Linked DNA regions of Drosophila melanogaster. The protein of the gene in region 1 purifies or fractionates together with the protein of each later gene. This does not show direct contact. Each region holds a gene or a part of one and is shown in the gene's direction. Other genes may lie near its edges. The genes, in order: Pgam5 and dmrt99B.

Evidence for each region.
Region 2: the proteins of Pgam5 (region 1) and dmrt99B purify together in Drosophila melanogaster (affinity purification with mass spectrometry, with the first as the bait; one large-scale study listed by BioGRID). This does not show direct contact.

What each region holds. Positions count from the first base shown.
Region 1 is NC_004354.4:1,871,596-1,875,095, reverse strand, and holds Pgam5 (phosphoglycerate mutase 5), read left to right. Parts: upstream 1-1,530; 5' UTR 1,531-1,565; coding exon 1,566-2,123; intron 2,124-2,189; coding exon 2,190-2,501; 3' UTR 2,502-2,696; downstream 2,697-3,500. Other genes in the region: Vps26 (vacuolar protein sorting 26), read right to left, coding at 1-735, 815-958; CG14803 (uncharacterized protein), read right to left, coding at 2,745-3,500. UniProt on the Drosophila melanogaster protein: Displays phosphatase activity for serine/threonine residues, and dephosphorylates and activates Pk92B kinase. Has apparently no phosphoglycerate mutase activity.
Region 2 is NT_033777.3:29,690,731-29,697,707, forward strand, and holds dmrt99B (doublesex-Mab related 99B), read left to right. Parts: upstream 1-1,860; 5' UTR 1,861-2,076; coding exon 2,077-2,223; intron 2,224-2,307; coding exon 2,308-2,409; intron 2,410-2,695; coding exon 2,696-3,107; intron 3,108-4,822; coding exon 4,823-5,694; 3' UTR 5,695-6,295; downstream 6,296-6,977.

The sequences.
Region 1 (3,500 bases):
GCGCCACAGCGTGATCTCCTGTTGTTTGAAGTAGCGCCGGTCCTCGGTGTCCATCAGCACAAGGTTGAGGAAATACTTGACTGAGAACTTCTTGTTAATGTCCCGCATGGTCGGCGTGAGATTGTAGCCAGCAAGAAAGACCCGGATGGGTATGCTCTCGCCTTTGACGGGCGCTCCGTCCATGATCTCGTACTTGGCAATCGTTTCGTTTTCGTTAAACATGGTGGGGCCCGTGCCCGTGCTCTCCTTCTTGATGATCGCAATCTCCATGTGCTTGATCTTAATGCGCACCAACAGGAAGTAGATCTTGCCGATAATCGTGTCCCGCAGGTGGTACTTGCTTTTGTTATACTCGAATTCGATGTGCAGGCAGTCTTCGATGCCTACCTCCATCTTGATGGGGTTGTTCATCTCCGGGTAGCTGCACAGTGTGTGCACGGCGATGTCGACCTCCTTCGTTATGTCGCTGATCCGCCTGACGATGGTTGCGCGCAGGAAGTACCGCAACCGCACGTTCGAGCCGGCGTACACCTCGAATTGCTTCTCCACTTTGGGGAAATCGAATGGATAGCTGTTGTTCTGGATGAGATCGCCCGGGCGGGCCAGGGCCTTCGCTAGACACTTGAATTCGTGGTGGTTACCCCGGTCGTAGTACAGTTCGATCTGGCCAATGAATTCGATCTTAATGCCCTGGTGCTCCAGCTTGCTGCCCGGCTTCTTGAGGGTCACGTTCACCTGGATGAAAAGGGGGTGGATATGGGTTTATCTCTGGTTATGCTTGGGGGAACTCCCCCCGATGCTGACCACGACGCACCTTGCCGGATACCGTCTCCCCGTCGTAGAATAGCAGCATCTTCTCCACTTTGCCGTCCTCCCCTTTAACCTCTGCCGTCTTGTGCTCAGCTCCATCAAAGACTATCTCAATGTCCGCTGACTGGCCGAATCCCAGGAAATTCATAATTGATAAACGTCGAATCGGCTTCTTCTTCTTCCGTTTCTTATTGCCCCCGCCTCTGCTTCTTGCTGCTCCGATGGAATGTCGACGCTGTGACTCCTGTTGGCGGCTTTTCCTAGAGATATCTTTCTGATAACCCCTTCAATAAACCTCAGCTTTGATAGGCGTTTTTCTGCGGCCTTTTTACGTCCTTCGTTCCGATGCTGGCGTATCTGTCGCGTCTGTGTGTGTGAAATGAAAAAAATTGCAATTTTTCACACTACGGCGTTGCCATATCGCGTCAACCTGATTGTTATTAAGGAGTGCCAGCGCTGGTACTTTTCAGTATTCAGTATTTGCATGGTATTTCTTTAAGAAACACATACGGAATAATTAACGAAACAATTGATTGTGGATCCTTAATTTTCTTGGTATACAATAATTGTGTAAATATATTTCGTATTTTTGATTCATCTTGGTAACTTTTCGATAGTTGAATTCTAAATGGTCTTGCGCGGTATTTATATACCCGCTAACCTAGTATGTCAAATACCAAATCGCAGTATTTAAATACCGCACTTATTCAGCGGAACAAAACTAAAATTAAAGAAAATACCTAAAAGCCCTAACGATGCGAAAGTTGACTAGCTTCGTGTGCGGCACAGGAGCCGGACTGGCGGCTTACTACCTACAGCGGCTGCGGGACCCGCAGACGGTCGTGCAGAACTCGTGGACGCACAGTGATAAGCCGGTGGATCCGTGGGCCCTTTGGGACACCAACTGGGATTGCCGGGAGCCACGGGCCCTCGTGCGTCCACTGCGAAACAGCCAGCCGGAGGAGGAGAACCGCTACAACGCGGAGCTTGAGAAGGCGAAGGCCAAGAAGGCGCGCCACATTATCCTAGTGCGGCATGGCGAGTATCTGGACGTGGGTGACTCGGATGACACGCATCATCTCACGGAGCGCGGCCGCAAGCAGGCGGAGTTTACTGGGAAACGGCTCTGCGAGCTGGGCATCAAGTGGGACAAGGTAGTAGCCTCCACAATGGTGCGGGCCCAGGAGACTTCCGATATTATTCTCAAGCAGATCGATTTCGAAAAAGAGAAAGTGGTGAACTGTGCCTTCCTGCGTGAAGGAGCGCCTATTCCGCCCCAGCCGCCAGTCGGCCACTGGAAGCCGGAGGCATCTGTAAGTCAAGTCAAGGGTCAACCCAGTGCGTATTCCACATGATATTCGGCTTTCATTTCACTGCAGCAGTTCCTTCGCGACGGATCGCGCATAGAGGCCGGCTTTCGCCGATACTTCCACCGCGCCTATCCCGACCAAGAGAAGGAGAGCTATACCCTGATCGTGGGACACGGCAACGTGATCCGCTACTTTGTCTGCCGAGCCCTGCAGTTCCCCGCCGAGGGTTGGCTACGGATTAACATTAATCACGCTTCCATCACCTGGCTGACCATCAGTCCATCCGGCAACGTGTCCATCAAGTACCTGGGCGACTCCGGCTTTATGCCCGCCGAGCTGCTTACCAATCGCATACCGCGCGACGTCAAAAACGTGGTTTAGCCGTCTGTTTATAGAACTGCCCAAAGGAGAAGCAATCATAATGTATTTATTTCCAACACTTTAACTGAGACCTTGAGCACAGATCGCGAGACTGTGTAAACCACCATGTACATTTTGCCGCACCGTAACGTATATCTCTTAAGGAGGAATCATTGAATCTTCCGACTGAAATAATAAAGATTTTATAGAATGCCTAACATTTTATTGAGAATCCTTATATGTACAAAAGAAGCCATGAGGAGCCTAAACCCTGCTCAAGACCTTTTGGAGTCGCTGCAAGCACTTGCGTATGCCCACATCTTCTCCAGCGCCGCGTTTTAGCTCCACCTGCTCTGCCTGCTCCCTTATAAAGGATAGGATGGGAGCCACTAGATCCGGCGCCAGCTCTGCCAGGTTGATCAGCATCTGGAAGTAAAAGTAAGTGCAGTGGGCCAGGTGCTTTTCGGCGAGGGATCGCAAGTGATTGGAGCACATATCCCTGACCGCCTGTGATCGCTTGTAGGCATCGTGCGATATAAGCACTTTATAAAGTCCAAACACTTGGTTGCGACTGAGGTCCACTTCGTCCACGAACATTACGTGTTCCAGCAGCGGGATGTGCACGCCGCGCAAAACGGTTAGCAGCTGTTCTTCCTGCTCTTTGCCAGTGCTCTCTATCAGTTGCTGCATTATAGTGATCACCAAGCCCGCATGCTGTCCTGCCCTCCGCCGCTGGACCACCAAAAACTGGGTAACGAGGAGCTGAAGCACAAACTGCGCCAGCTCTCCATCTACATCCGCCTGGAGGAGGGTGGCATATGGACGGGCCACCAGCTTGGCGTTGGATGAGAAGCTAAAGTGCGGCGTCCAGTGCTGAACTAGTTGCTCCAAAGTCTTGGCCACGTATGCGTCCGTGCGGTAAGGCAGTCGACCAATGCCTTGCAGCAACACTGGGAAAATCTTGTGAACCACTTGTGGAAGGCGACCTTCGGGCGGCACTCCTGCCTGCAACTGCGTGGT
Region 2 (6,977 bases), on another chromosome or scaffold:
TCTCTCTGCAGCAACAACAACTAAGTAAGTTGTCATCGCCAGCGCTGCTCAACTAATTTGCATATTTGGTCGCAGTAAAAACACTTTATAAGTGGCCACCCAGGGCAGCAGCCTGCGTGTGTTTGTGTGTAGATGTGAGTGTGTGTACATAGGCGCACTTTAAACAAAGTTAAAATGCGAGAAATTGGCCCTGCGCAAAACACCAGTAGCTCCACGGTAACAGCAGCAGCAGCAGCTTCTGGCCATTTACTGTTGCCAACAACTGTGACCTGCCCAAAAAGACGATGCCAGCGGAACTGGAACTGCCCCCTATTTCCCAGTGTGTGTGTGCGTGTGTGTGTGTGTAGAGGTCCTTAGGCAACTCGCACACAAGCACACGCGCGCAAACACCGACACAGACAGACTGGAAACTTGTTTCTTTTGGTCAACTTGTACAACATTGTTGCCGCTTTATGTTCTTCTATTTCTACAGCGTGTGCGTGAGTCCTATGGCTCCTCCTCTTTTCGTGGGCGGAGTCTCCGCGCGAGAGAGCGAACATCTCTCGGAGAAACGAAGAACGTCAGAGAGAGAGAGAGAGAGGCGCGCGCAGCTGCCTCTTTCGCAGACGCGGCTGTCTCGCTCGCTCAGCACGAGTGCTCAGTTTGTTTCAATTGCAATTATTTTGTAACATTCCAATAGGCCAATAGACCCAACCCACTGGCCAAAAAAAAGTTAAAAATTACCTAACGAAAACTCTCATTCCGACGCAGCGGGATATGCGGCACATTATGTAAAGGACTCTTTATGTAAAATGGGTTTTGTTCTTTTAAATAGATTAAAGTAGCAAATTGATATCACATTGTATATCCTTTTAAACGCTATAAAAGTTAATATACGTTATGATTTTCTGTTAAATACCTATCTTTATGGTTTGTTTCTTGTTTAACATATCATCTCATGTCTATACTTTTATGCAGCTGTAAATAAGTAATTATTATGCCTCTGTTTGTCAATTTTGTTCATGGAGATTTCAACACTTGAGACATTTGAACAGCGGCAGCTGGAAATGAAAAGCAAGTGGCGATGTGCCACAACCTAAGGTAGAAACTTTAGTTTTTCAAAAACAGGGGCCTGGGAATTTTAGATATCCCCCCAAAACCCCTCGAAAAGCAACAACTGCGCTGCCAACTGTGTCAGTTGAGTGTGTTTGTATGTGTGTGTGTGTGTGTTGGCCATGCCAACCAGCGGCGAGGTCGCAACAACAACGCTTTTGGTTGGCTATTCCATTAGCCCAAAAGCCGAGAGCCCCAAGCGCTCACGCACACAGCAAGCCGCTGAGCAGTTGAGCAGCTGAAGAGCGGCATAAAAAATAATTGTGAAACAAAGGCAACAAAGAAAATGAAAGAAACCCCAAACAACCACCAGAACAGCACCACACCACCGAAGCACCACCACCACCACCACCACCACCACTACCATGGCAATTCCCTTTGAGAACCAACCAGTGCGGAGTGCTCTCCCGCCACATTACTCATACGCCGCGTCGCCGCCTCGAGTGCACAATTTTGTATACAGTACCAAATTAGATTTGAAACTTTTTTCTTAATTGCCAACCCTCCGCCGTCGCAGCCGGCGTCGCCGTTGGCGCAGGCAGCGACGCCGACGCAGGCAGCTGCGGCGCACAAAGGTGGTTGCAACACTCTCGGAATCGGGGATATATCCCCTATATCCAGTTTGCATGTACATGCCCACGAGCGTATCCGCGCACTTTCAACCCTCGTCAGCCGCTTTTGTATTGGTAAATGTTGCCGCTTGCCGCCATTGCTGAACGTCCGACGTCGAGCGTCGTGCGCTGCGGCCTTTTGGCCAAAAGTTGAATCAGTTGCAATCGAGGGCTCACTGTGTCATGTCGTTAGCGCGCGTGGATTGAATTCGAGAACTATGCGGATATAAATAGTTAAACAATAAAACAATCAAACTACAAGCTAACAACAAACAATTAAATACTAATCAAATAAGCTAAAGTGAAGTGTGTGCTCAGAAGTTTTTGACCTAACAACTAAATCCACATCGAGGTTTCTGATCTTCACGTCGAAATGAGTCTACCGTCGGGTGTGGACATGCAGAATCTGATGTCCCAGCATCCGGTCTTGGGAGCACTGCCACCTGCTTTCTTCTTGCGAGCCGCCTCGGAACGCTACCAAAGGACGCCCAAGTGCGCCCGCTGCAGGAACCACGGAGTGGTAGGTCCCTCGGTCATATACCATCCGGCATCTGGAGATTTTCTTTACCCACTGGATCCCCTTTCCATTTCGAACCTTTTGCAGGTCAGCGCCTTGAAGGGACACAAACGCTACTGCCGCTGGCGGGATTGCGTCTGCGCCAAATGCACTCTAATCGCGGAACGCCAAAGGGTTATGGCTGCTCAGGTGGGTTTCTACTTTAATATAGAAGGAATTACGTGGAAAGAATTGGAATAAATGTTATAGAATGAAGAAGATTGCTGAATTCATCTATATAGTTCAGTTAAAGAGAACCTATGTATGCTTAAAAGCAGGTTTTTTTTTATAGTATAGCATGGAAATCAAGTACTACTTCAAAATTGCAAAACTCCTCTGTTGACTTCAGTTAAAAATCATAGTAATATTAATGCATCTCCCTGTTACACGCCACTGATCAAAGATCCGCTTTCCGCCCATGCCCTCCTTGTTGCAGGTGGCCCTTCGACGCCAACAGGCCCAAGAAGAGAACGAGGCCCGCGAGCTGGGCCTGCTCTACACTTCGGTTCCTGGCCAGCAGAATGGCAGCGACAGTGCTACGCCCACTCCGCACAGCCCCAACCACAGCGGCAGCGGCGGCTCGGGCAGCGGAGGATCGGGCCAGAACGGCGTCTTCCACGGCGGGATTCCCTCGCCACCCAGCGACGGCTTCGAGGCCAGCTCCACTCCCAATCATCACCAGCAGTCGCAGCAGCAGCAGCAGGCGCACCACCAACAGCACCTTAGCCACCCACACCAGCAGTCCCAGCGGTTCAATGGCAATGAATCCGACACGGATGGACGCACCCGTTCCGAGCACCTCAGCGTCGGTTTCTCGCCCACCAGAACCGAGCTGGATGAGAGTCCTGGTGAGTGAAGTAAAGAATACTGCACACAGCTAACACCGGGAGAATATGTGACTGTGTGACTTGGGAAATGAAGTAACATCAAATATCACAGCACATATCTTATAAATTGAGATCTATTCTAAAACCAAGAAAACAGTTTTCCTTGAAGTTCTTCAAATGTTTACTGCTTATGAAATAGCATTACTTCCATTACACTCCATTTCGAAGGACACACTGACTTATTTTGCGCAGTGCAGCCGCTTAAGAAGCCATTCACGCCTGGCCATCTCAAGAAGAGGTCTTGAGAGTCTTGGGGGAGGGCAGGTTAAAAGCGCGTTAAGAAAAATTTGTTTTCGATTGTTCAGAAATCAGCGGTGCATAAAGTGCCACACTCGCGGTTGCATGTGCATTTGGCTGCGTGTATGCAAGTGGCGAAGTGGTGCTAGTGAGCGGGGCATAGGTGTTGTTTTGACAAAGACTTAGCCAGCCAAGCTGCAGTCGTGCACTTTGCCAAGCGGCGCGTGAAAAGGTCCTGGGGTTGCAGCCAGGCCAGGACATCAAGGGGCGCAAATTGCAACAATCGAGTTAAAGTCCTCGTTAGGAGGAAAACACTTGATTTAACGTGGTGCTCATTTCAGGGAAGGTTTTAAAGGCAAATAACTTGAAATTTCCGACAAAAATGTTCCATTACATCATATAATATCAAATGGCAAACTCTGAAATGCTGGTCGTCTCAAAACACTTGTGTGCTAGAATTTTACTCTTTTTCCCACAAAAAAACCCTCTCAATAGCTGAACAATAAAAGTTATTGTAACATTATCCAACATTATTTGTTATTATCCGAAATAAGCCAATCAATTCCAACCAGATCATCTCAGATTGCCCTGCCATCGCAACTCAAACCACTGGCCCATTAAACGCCAAACAGTTGCAAGTCTGTCGAGAATTTGAAAGGACCTTCGACCCCGCCTGCTTATTAGGACTATCGGCTGTGCAGATGGGGGTTATTACCCATAAGGTAACCCCATGCCAAGGGTTCTGGCAGGCCAGAAACGTGAGATACCCCCCCTGACTCAGCTCACTTGTCTTTATTTGTTTGCCCTTTCGGAGGAAGTGGTTTTTTCCAGCTCGAGAAAGAAAAACACAGCAGGATTCTCACGCGAATCAATCGGGAAAACCTGTCTATTTAAGTACCGGACTCTATTATTTGCCATGAAATCCAAGACGATTTCACGCTTGAATTTTTATTTTCGACTAAAGAGTGCGGCATTCGAGTTGGGTATTGGTATCCACGCACCCTCGACTTAATTAAATTTTTACTGCGGCTTCGTCAACTGCAAAATTAAACAGACTCGCACAAAAATATCATATAGCTTGTTTCATTTGTGGAAAAAAACAGCAGGTTGTCCCTCGTTGGCATGTCAACATCGCATCCTGAACTCCCTGCTCCTTCCACCGCCTTTGTTTGCGATGCCCCTGATTAAATTCCTTCCCATCTCTACACTTGATACTTTTATTTGCTCTAAGCTGCCAAGTGGAAACTGTGCGGTTTTCCACTGGCTACCTGAATCGCTTCGTCGATGGAAATCGATACCTGCGATTTTGGGAAAAACAATTGCTCAATAGGAAGTACACACTCTCGTAGGAGAACTATTACAAGATACTACTCTTAATGCATTTACATATCAACTGGCGACTAATCTGTATATACCTTCATTGTATTCCTTGCTTGCAGTGTCCAAGCGCGGAGCAGCCCTGTCGAACGAGACCGACCAGGACACGGGCTCCGAGTCCGGATCGCCGAGTAGTCCCCGGCCCAAGGTCGCCGGACTGTTCAATCTGACCGCCAGCTTGTCGCCCGCCCGCACTGGACCGCCCAGCTCGCCGGAATCGGATCTGGACGTGGATTCGGCGCCGGATGAGGCCACGCCGGAGAATCTCAGTCTCAAGAAGGAGGACAGCCAGTCGCCGCCCAACACGCCCGCCGAGAATCTTCATCTGCTGCGATCCTTCAGCAGCAGTCATGCCCAGGGCTTCCTGCCATATCACCACACGCAGTTCCTGGCCGCCGCCGGCCTGCCCGCCCACCACCACCCAGCGGCACACTCGCCGCACCACCAGCAGCAGCAACAGCAGCAGCAGCAGCAGCAGAACCACCTGCCACAGCACCACCAGCAACAGCAGCAGCAGCAGCAACAGCAGCAGAGATCGCCCATCGACGTCCTGATGAGGGTGTTCCCCAACCGACGGCGCAGCGATGTGGAGCAGCTGATGCAGCGGTTCCGTGGCGACGTGCTCCAGGCCATGGAGTGCATGCTGGCTGGCGAGGATTTGGGACAGACTCCGCCGCAGGTGCCGCCATCGCCGCCCTTTCCCATGAAGTCCGCCTTCTCCCCGCTGGTGCCGCCCTCGGTTTTCGGCTCCCCCACCCATCGCTACCATCCCTTCATGCAGGCGCACGCCAAGCGATTCCTGACTGCTCCCTACGCCGGAACCGGCTACCTTCCGGGAGTGCTCAGTGCGGCGGATATCGAGCAATCCGAGTCCAACGGAGCGGGCGGCATAGGGTTGGATCGCACCAGCAATGCTGGCGACTCCCAGGATTGAGGCATCGAGGTGGAGGCCAGCGGCGCATCCGTCTTCAGGCCTTTCGAATAAGGTTCCCACCCCTGCTACACTGCGGAAAAATGTGAACACTTTACGAGTCAAGAACACAATTCTTAACTTCAATGAGTTTTAGAGCTCTCGTTTGTTTTTATAATATTTTCAGTCAGCTGAAACCATAGAAGTTTTTCATTGCAGAAAGAACTTTCTTGATTTTTGAGCAACTGTTTCTCGCAGTGCACGTCCCGCAACTAAGTGTAAATTACATTTGCCCTCGACTCTTAGCACAAGTATTGTAACATAGAGACCGTATAAGTAAATAATACGTTTAATGAATTAAAACTTAAGAAAAACCATACACTCGATCCCAGTTATAAGAAGTATTTGTTTAGCTGAAATTAACATTATGACGATGATGAGATTATTGTGTAAGCGATTGTTGATTGCAACCAACTAATTGAGATATCCGTGTGTACCATATGAATATGAGCATATATATAATTATATTAAACATCATATTATGTCTTAGATAAAGTACATTTCAAACACTGTGTTAAAGTATTTAATAAATCTACAAATAATTCAATAAAATAATGAAGAAATTAATTCGATGCTATTTTTTTGTCGGGGAATATTGGTGTTTTTTTTTCCTACATGCATAGATAGATAGATAAGATACATCTTCAGTCTGCAAATGTACTGATGAATGTGCTGAATAGCCCAATTATAGTGTAATTATTTTGATGAATGCATAATGCATTCCAATTAAATCGTTTGGGCCTACGCTAAATGCCTGACTAATCAGATCAATAAATAAGGATATTTAATACAAAACTTCCATTGTTCGGAAATCCCTTAGTCCGGGTCATAGCTGGGTAAATAAACAATTTTCACAGCACGTAATGTATATTCGTGAGAAGTCGACCGGATAACAATGGGCCGCCCACAAGCACCCCAAAGAAATTGAAATACAAATAGGAAACTACTGCGATTATAGAGGCCACCCACGATTCGAAATTCAAAATTCCCAACTGGTCATCACGCGATGGCCAAATAATAATGCGAAGCGTTAATCCGTATCATCATTATCTATTTGCCACTATTTTGAGGGCAGTGCCACAAGACCCCGGAAAATCGACGGGGAAAACTATTCGGCAGGGCTGTGTGCGGAAAAGTGTGAAATCCTTTTACACACAAGCGGTTCGAACTGTTTTTGTTTTCCCCACTCGGACACACGTCGCACGATAAACAAAATTATAATAAAACTAATACCCACACACATGACC